Linked DNA regions of Arabidopsis thaliana. The protein of the gene in region 2 interacts with the protein of the main gene of each other region in a pairwise test. Each region holds a gene or a part of one and is shown on either strand. Other genes may lie near its edges.

Evidence for each region. The genes of interacting proteins can lie anywhere in the genome.
Region 1: the proteins of AT3G18360 (region 2) and WRKY75 interact in a two-hybrid assay, tested with the Arabidopsis thaliana proteins (one large-scale study listed by BioGRID).

What each region holds. Positions count from the first base shown.
Region 1 is NC_003076.8:4,148,816-4,153,366, reverse strand, and holds WRKY75 (WRKY DNA-binding protein 75), read left to right. Parts: upstream 1-2,165; 5' UTR 2,166-2,347; coding exon 2,348-2,607; intron 2,608-3,261; coding exon 3,262-3,439; 3' UTR 3,440-3,629; downstream 3,630-4,551. Other genes in the region: AT5G13070 (MSF1-like family protein), read right to left, coding at 4,305-4,551. UniProt on the Arabidopsis thaliana protein: Transcription factor. Interacts specifically with the W box (5'-(T)TGAC[CT]-3'), a frequently occurring elicitor-responsive cis-acting element.
Region 2 is NC_003074.8:6,299,947-6,304,050, reverse strand, and holds AT3G18360 (VQ motif-containing protein), read left to right. Parts: upstream 1-2,238; 5' UTR 2,239-2,366; coding exon 2,367-3,224; 3' UTR 3,225-3,431; downstream 3,432-4,104. Other genes in the region: AT3G18350 (heat-inducible transcription repressor (DUF639)), read right to left, coding at 3,551-3,781, 3,863-4,104. UniProt on the Arabidopsis thaliana protein: May function as negative regulator of plant defense.

The DNA of each region.
Region 1 (4,551 bases), on a different chromosome or scaffold from region 2:
TAGGAACAAAGTTTGTGGATTAGGTAGACTGTTTCGAAGAGTGGGCCAACAAATATTTGCCTTGTGATTAAGCCATCCTCATCTCATAGTGAGAGAGTGTGTCTCATTCTTCTATTTATCTATCCATTTATAGATAGATGTGTTGTTAACTGGTTTATGTGGTTTCATTAGTAATAGTTACGTTGTAACTGCTTTATCATTTATTTATTTTTACGACTCCAGAAATGAAGAAGATGAAATCAAAGTTCTGTTTCTACTACCGTGTTACAACGTAAAGCAACAAAACATTTGGTTACGTTTATATAGGAAACCAAAATTGCCAAATTTAACCAAGGCTTGAACAAAACTTTAATCAGTTTCTTGTTGTTGTTGGGCCCAAAGCTACCTGTTTTACCAATCAAATCTGTTCTTACTTTGTCAATTGTCACAAACCTTGACTTAGTTCTTAAATCACTCACCAAAAACTCTGATTCTCAACCCAAAACAAGAAATAAACTTGTACTTAACTGCCAAAGGCTTGTTGAGCCTAACAACAAATATTGGCCCACATAACAGGCCCAAATCTTACAAAGCACCCAACCCTTTTTTTTTAGCACCCATCCCTTGAGTACTTTTTTCATTAATGTTCTTTTCCAAAAAGATATAGAGGCTGCGAGATGTGAAAGAAAAAAAGTGAGATTGCAAAAGAACACGTGCGTCTTCCAAGAATTTTCTTAGGGGTTATATAATATTCAAACATTTGATCTCTTTGATAATTGTCCAACCTTTTCTTTTTACTTTGTGCTTTTGAATGGTCAATCAAACATGGACTAACAACAGTAAATGGTGAGCTACTTTTGTTTTCCTAATTGAAATTGATTAATAATTGGTAAATGGTTTCAACTTCAAACCTCGGAAGAATAATCATCAAACACGTTTGCGCCTCTTTGTTTACCTTCTACAAGGACTTAAAGTTTGACCAAAATTCCTCAACTACATACGAATGAATATACACTGACGTCCGAAAACAAACCATGAAAAGTACTTTACTTCTCATTAAGCCAATGAAGAAGAAAAAAGTAGCAATATACTCGTCCTAAGCTTTTTTTTTTTTGCTATGAATGTTGTTATCATTATAAAAATTAAAAGAGTTTAGCTTTACTGAGTAAGGGCCTATTGTTTTGAATCTTTGGCCAAAAAAGTTGCGGAATCGTTTGCGTCTGTGGTGATCATGTTTATGATCTCTCTGTCAATTGTGTCGATATACGTCATTAGTTATATCTTGGTATTTATTCAATAAAACCATCAAAAACTGTATTTATTCATCATGGAATCGGTATTATATTAAGTTATAACCGTATCTCACCACAACGACATCAACATCTTTATTCTTTGTTTTAGAAAGCAATGGAACGAAGAACAGATTCAAACTACTTCTCTTTTTTCCACGTGTGTAAATAGTCAATAAATTAGATGGTCCAAGGATAAACTCGTATTTGTATATACAAATATCGAAAACGACTTGTAGTGTGTTTAAGAGCCAATCTAACAATTTTATATGTGTGGATTCAAACATTGAAGACTTTGATTGATCAATTCAAAGAAGTATGCATTTATTATATGCACGGATAAAATGATGACGTTCGACAAAAAAAAAAACGTAAACCTCATATGACGTTCGGATAAAAGAAAAACGTAACACGTACACGACGTCATTGGAGAGATCATTCGTCCGTTCGTAATAATCTTCCACAATCCAAAATTCTGTGTTCTACGTCGGTGCATGCATCGTTTTTTTGGTTATTCTACTTCAATGAATCGCGAAAAGCAGAGTGAGTAATTGATTCTTACGTCAGATCACCAATAAGTCTTTCCTTCCTAATTTGCAATATCTATTACAAAATCTTTATTAATGCGCAGTTTCAAAGCACTCTCAATAGCATACATTCTTGTGTAGATCTGATCCTTATCCATATATATATACATTTAATTGATTATTACTCGTGAAAACTCAGTAAACTATCTTGAGAAAATTGCCTATATCTTTTAAGAAATAAGATTAGGGGTACATAAAACATTATCTTACAAATGTAATTATGTAAAATGTTTAATCCTTACGTGTCGTCTACGACACTACCCCTCTTTAACGATTAGCAGAGGGCCGCCTCTTCGTCTTTGACTTCATAGTCTACCATAAATATGTCTATATATTTTAGACTAAACTTTATTATGTTTTCACAAAGATATCTTAACAAACTCCAATCAATTATCAAACAAAAAGAGAGGAACAAAATTCTTCTTCTTTTGGAATTCAGGTGGATCGGTCTGTCTCGTTGTTATAATCAAGATTCCACAAATAATTAGGAATATGGAGGGATATGATAATGGGTCGTTGTATGCTCCTTTTTTGTCGTTGAAATCTCATTCGAAACCAGAGCTGCATCAAGGCGAAGAAGAGAGCTCAAAGGTTAGATCAGAAGGTTGTTCGAAAAGCGTGGAGTCGTCGAAAAAGAAGGGGAAGAAACAAAGGTATGCGTTTCAAACAAGGAGCCAAGTGGATATTCTTGATGATGGTTATCGATGGAGGAAATATGGCCAAAAGGCCGTCAAGAACAACAAGTTCCCTAGGTTCTTCTTCAATTCTCCCTTCTTATTTATTCATTGCTTACAATTGCTATATATTTTATCGAACATATAAAGAAAGAGTTAAGAGTTAGACATGCATATATATGCTTTAGCCAATTCGAATCAATCTCCAATTAATGTGTATATGTATCATTCACATCGGCCCTAGATTGATCTTAACTATTCTGCAATATGTGTTTTGATTAATTTATCGTTTTCATCTTCTATAGCTAGCCGAGATACATGATCTATTTGTTTCTCTATCTAATAATTAATCAATATTTAATATAAATACACTTTTGGTCAACAAATCATAGAAATGTGCTTTTGTGAAGAAATTTGATGATTAATTACTCTTCTAAAAGACTCGATGAATATATGTATATCCTATTCACATTTTATTCTAGATTGATCTTTACTAATTGATTGGGATATGGATATGGATATTGATTTTTTTTTTTTCTAGTCTATGTAGCTAACAATCAGCGATTAAAAATGAAAGTCTTTTGGTAGACATTTTTCTTCTTATAATTTGGATTCGGGAACATATATGTGACAGTTAATTACTCTTCTAAGAGATTCAAAAACAGTTATTTGCATATAGAGAAGTGAAGTGTTTTGAAATATAACTAATGGTTTATATATATAAATGTGCAGGAGTTACTATAGGTGTACATATGGAGGATGCAATGTGAAGAAGCAAGTGCAAAGATTAACAGTGGACCAAGAAGTGGTCGTGACAACCTACGAAGGAGTGCATTCGCATCCCATCGAGAAATCCACCGAAAACTTCGAGCATATTCTCACTCAAATGCAAATCTACTCTTCTTTCTAGTTAATTCTCTCAAAATCTTTTATACCTTATTTTAGAGCCTATAATTCTTAGAGCTCATGTTGTAAATTATTTACAAAAATTAGAATGTTACATTTTACGTGTGTTGAAAAGAAAAACCATGCATGATCTGATGATCAGCTGAAGTTTGTATCCTAATAATTTTTAATAAAAATTTCAAAAATTGAGTGTAGTCTATTACTGATAGCAGCATATAATGCACATATTAAATTTCAAACAACTGTTGCTAAACATATTATTACGGTTATCTGATAAATAGTAATACTAATGGTTAGGCGTTAATAAGATATGTCATAGTCTCTAACTACCCACCGAAAGTTGTAAGAAAACTACATGAGGTATGGGAATCTGAAAGTTAGCTAGGTAAGTGACAAGAAAGTAAAAAATATCAACGGAGAAAATGACTTTACAATTCTTAAAATTAAATCAGTAACAAAATAAACCCATTTTGCTAGTTAATTCTGCTATCAGCAATGATGCTCTTGAAACAGTGACAAGAGAGTCATTGTTCTTCAGCACCGTCGCATCAGTTCTTGAGTAATCCAGTGTCTTTTTTGCATGTAACCAACCATCTTCGTGTAAATGTATGTAATTGAGCCTGAAATCTTTATTATCAATATCAAGATGCAAACCGTTTGGATTTGGATTCAAAAATTTGGATAAAAGCTTCACAATTCAACTTTCAGTTGCTAACACAAAACAGGAGTTACTGAAACAAACACCAATTTGATCTAAACTGTTTCATAAACTTATTATAACCATGCTCCAAAAACGTAGCTCTCTTGACTTACAAAACATTCAAGAATCACAAACCAAGAAGATACTGGAATCTAAGAAGTTTTGATCTTTAGATCCGAGCGGATTCTGCTTCCATATACTTACAAATCCTCTCCATAACCTCTCTTCCTTTAGCGCTATTCTGCATGAATTTCTCTGCGCACTTCTGTTCAACCTTCTCAGCCATTGAGGCCAGAGCCGACAAGGGTTTGATCCGAATGCTTGTCTCCTGGCTACAAACAGTCCAGGCTGATGGATTATCTGGATGCGGATCATATCTTATCCTCTCCTCCACTTCAATGAACTTTTTGAGACTA
Region 2 (4,104 bases):
AAACACGGTTTTCTTTTTAAGTTTTATGATCAAAACATGTCTGGTACAGTATATGTCTAGAGAACAAGTGTTATGTCTAAAACTTCAAGCATAAAGAAGCGACTAAACAAGCTCTACAATTTACTTATAACCACAGCTATGCTAAACACATATTATGTTCACTCTTTGATTGTTGTTTAGCTTAAAGCTGTGCAAATAAATGTATATAAAAAAGAGATCCATACAGTAGCAGCAGGGAATGATACTAGAATGATTCTTTAGTTCCTGTCTTCTTCAAAGACAAGTTCCCTTTCAGAATCACCAGCCATAACGTCTCTTTCTCGATGCAGAGTCTACCAAATAGACATCTACAGGAATTCTGTCTTATATTCTACCTGTGTGAAACACACAAAAGATTGAAAAATAATGCCTAGCTAGTAAGAGGTAGACTGGTATAGTACTCATCAAGCCAAAAACCACAGGTAGAATATAGTAGATCAAGTGATTGAACTCAATATACCACCTTTTTTTTTCTTTTTCTCATCAATCTGATTAGCTTCCGCATTTGATAATTTGAGTTCAAGACGCTCAGTTTGTTTCTCTGCTATGCATTTTCCTTCCCAATTGTCACCAGTTTCCTCAAGAGCAAACTGCATAAAGAGGGTTTTCATTTATCTCAGATGTGATCAAACAACAACTTACTCCTATTGTAGATGTTGGCTTGAGGCAATTCTCATGTCTGTTATCTCACCATTTGAGATTTCTCTATGTATTCCACCAGAACAACAGTGTCTTTGAAAGAATTTTCTGTTGTGCTCATTATCTGTCATACAACTTTACTTTGTCACCAAGAGGGCATTAAATTAGTTGAAACAAGTGAAATAGATCTCTCTACCTGCAAAGCCACTTCCAAACTCAGAGCCTTTTGTTTGCAGGCAACGACATACATGCTTTTGCCAGTTCAGTCTTCGAGTTTATTGAAAACAGGTGTACCAAAGCCCCTGCATATAAGTTTATTATTAATCAATAAGCAAGCAAAAGTCCGAACAATGAAGGTAATAACACACCACCAACAAAGTTCCCCTTTGTTCTTACATCAACAAATGCGGCTATCACCTTTTCAGCAAACTCGAGATCAGGACACCTGACGATATTAATTTCTATCTGGCACACAAGCAAGGTTGTTGCAAATGCAAATTTATCAAAAAACGACAAACGCTAAGAGAATGCACCAAAATGTGAAGGATATGTAAAGAGTTTCGAGTACATTGAAACAATTCAGGTGCAATCAGAAAACTTGCACACTTCAGTTCCTAAATATGCTCTAAAAATTTCTTGGCCAAAGCTCTAGGAGCCACTCTTTCAATGGTCTCTCTAGATGAAGACCTCCTGCCACTCATGAAGAAACAGAGAGACTTATTTTAAGATACTCTCGATTCAAGTACTAATCCTAACCATAATAAGCAATACACATATATAACGCTTTGAACAAAAGAATAGTCATTACCTGAAGTGATCTGACTATGTACTAATGTACATGTCTTAAGTTGCATCAATTATGTGAAGGCCTAAATGCAACAGACGATTTCATTGTAATCCTACAAATAAAGCACATCCATCGATTCACCAATGAAGTGAGAACCATATGCCACAAAACTATTAATCAAAAATCTGATAACTCCAAGTACTGCAAAAGAATGATTAATTATATGACCATTTCTTCTATAACTCCTAATCCGATATACATAAAGCTAATCAAGGATGATGCAAGTGAAATAACAAACGAAATCAGAGAAACTCATTGAAAGAAGTGAATCCGGTCGGGTTGATCCATAAAGGGGAATGAAAGAAGAAGAAGAAACCATTGTAAATTTCAAAATGTATTGATGGTGGTACGGTTTAATTGGTTCAGACTTCTAGATTACTGCGATTCAAATGTTTCAATCGGCAAAATCCATGTAATTCTTCGCGATTACAGTTACAGATATAACAGAACTAAACAGCAAAAAATGGAAATTAGTATGTGATAATCCATAATTATCTCAAGGAAATGATTTACCTCTAGAAGTTTAAACCTGGATTTTAGCAATCCTAGTGGCGATAATCTCTTAACTGCTTATCAGCCTCATAAACTAATTCACATGATATACTTACGTGGCACTAATAAGTGCTTACTTGGAACACTCACCAGATTACACGTGGCTCACTGTAACAGACTGAAGCTTATAAAAGGCAACACTCCTCTCCTCCCTATCTTCAAAATGGATCTCAATTTTGTCATTCTGTTTTACTTTCAATGAAAACTTACTTTTGGTTATACTTATGTATGATTCATTTATTCATTTAATTCAAAAACGTCACAATCCCTTTTTTTTATTACACATGAAATGAGCTCAACGTACAAGGACAACCATCCGTACCACCACCACCCTCACCATCACCATCACCATCCAAAGAGAGAACCCAATGAAAACAACTCCGGAATCTTATACACTCCCTCACCTTCACCGTCACCGCCAACTTTAAAAGTCAACAAAGACTCTCACGTTATTAAAAAACCACCGTCTCCGTCTTCTTTCTCCTCCGCGGCTAAGCCTCGTCACCCGGTGATCATTTACACACACACTCCAAGAATCATACACACTAATCCTAAAGATTTCATGGCTCTTGTTCAAAAACTCACCGGAATGACCCACTCCGACGAAGATCTCGGCGGTGGTAACGCAATGACCGATCCCGGGGTGGTAAAATCAATCAACCGAACCGTCTCTGAACCAACCGTCGACAGAAAAAACAACCGCAATCGCTGCGGCGGCGGTAATAATTACCTTAGAAACTACTCCGGTGCCGGAAACGGAAAGGGGATATTTTTTAATAACACGATGATAAGTGAAGATAGTGAATCGTCGTCGGTGATAACAACTGAGGAGAACATCGGAGAACATGGACAGGTTAATTCTTCTCTTCCGTATTCAGCGGTGGCTATTCCTCCACAGCCACCGCCTCATCCTCCTCCACCTCCGCCGCCACCGTCTATGTACGACGCTGCGGGGATAAACTACGGTGCTTATTTACCGACATTTCCGATTTTCCCGCCGGCGAATCCAGCTGATAATTTCTTATGCGGTAATCAACCGTTTGCGAATTTTGATGATCCGCTTTTCTTCGCGCCTAATATGAGAAGCTCTTTCTCTTCTTCTTCATCTTCTGGCTTCGATGGCTTGACGGAGTTTCGCGATTTTTAAGTTATCCGGCGTAAATTATTTCCGGTTTTGGAAAAATAATTTGTTTTTTCTTCATTGGAGGAGGTCTTCAAAGGGACTAATAATTTTTGAAATTAGTTAATAGTTATTTTTCCTTTAGTTAATTACTTTATATACTCGAAACAATTTTTCTGTGATCATCTTTTTTATTTCAAAAATTCATTATTTTTGTAAAATTTTATTGAATTCAAGAGTTGGCTCCCGAAATTAAGCTTAATACATACACAAACTGCATACATACATACATACATAAATGTATAGATTATAAGTATATATGTACGTCTGTGGCAACTATAGACGCTCTCCAATTAGTTCTTCTTCTTCTTATTGTTCTTGTCATGTAGAAGGACCACTGGAGCCGCTGGTATACTAAACCACCACTCTCTCAACCGCCTTATTAACCGTTCCGTGCTAGCTCTCCTTGGTGGCGAGTATCTTGTGAAAAGCTCAACAAATACAACCGAAAGCAAGTAGCGTCCCGGAACAAAGGCCATCATCGTCGCTGCGACCACAATCGCAATCGCAAACTTCTGGCTCGCCTGAAATAGCGGTTTCAAAACTGTGGTTAGACACAGCTTTAGGAGAAGCAGTTTGTGTTAAATATAAGAGGGAAGGCTGACCTGAGGGAAAAGCGAGAATAATAAAGCTCGGAACTTGAGAAGAACGATGTTTGCGTCTTGAATGTTCTGTTCGAGCTCCGAGATCCCGTTCTGGACTGCCAAAAGCTGTTCCATTGTGTTCATTGGAGGAGGAGCAGTTACTTTCAGCTCGATCATGAGCTTTTCTCTGCTGAAACATCTTGTGAGAACCATGAAGATGGCAGAGAAGAGAGACGCAAGAGCAAAGACATAAACAAGCCATC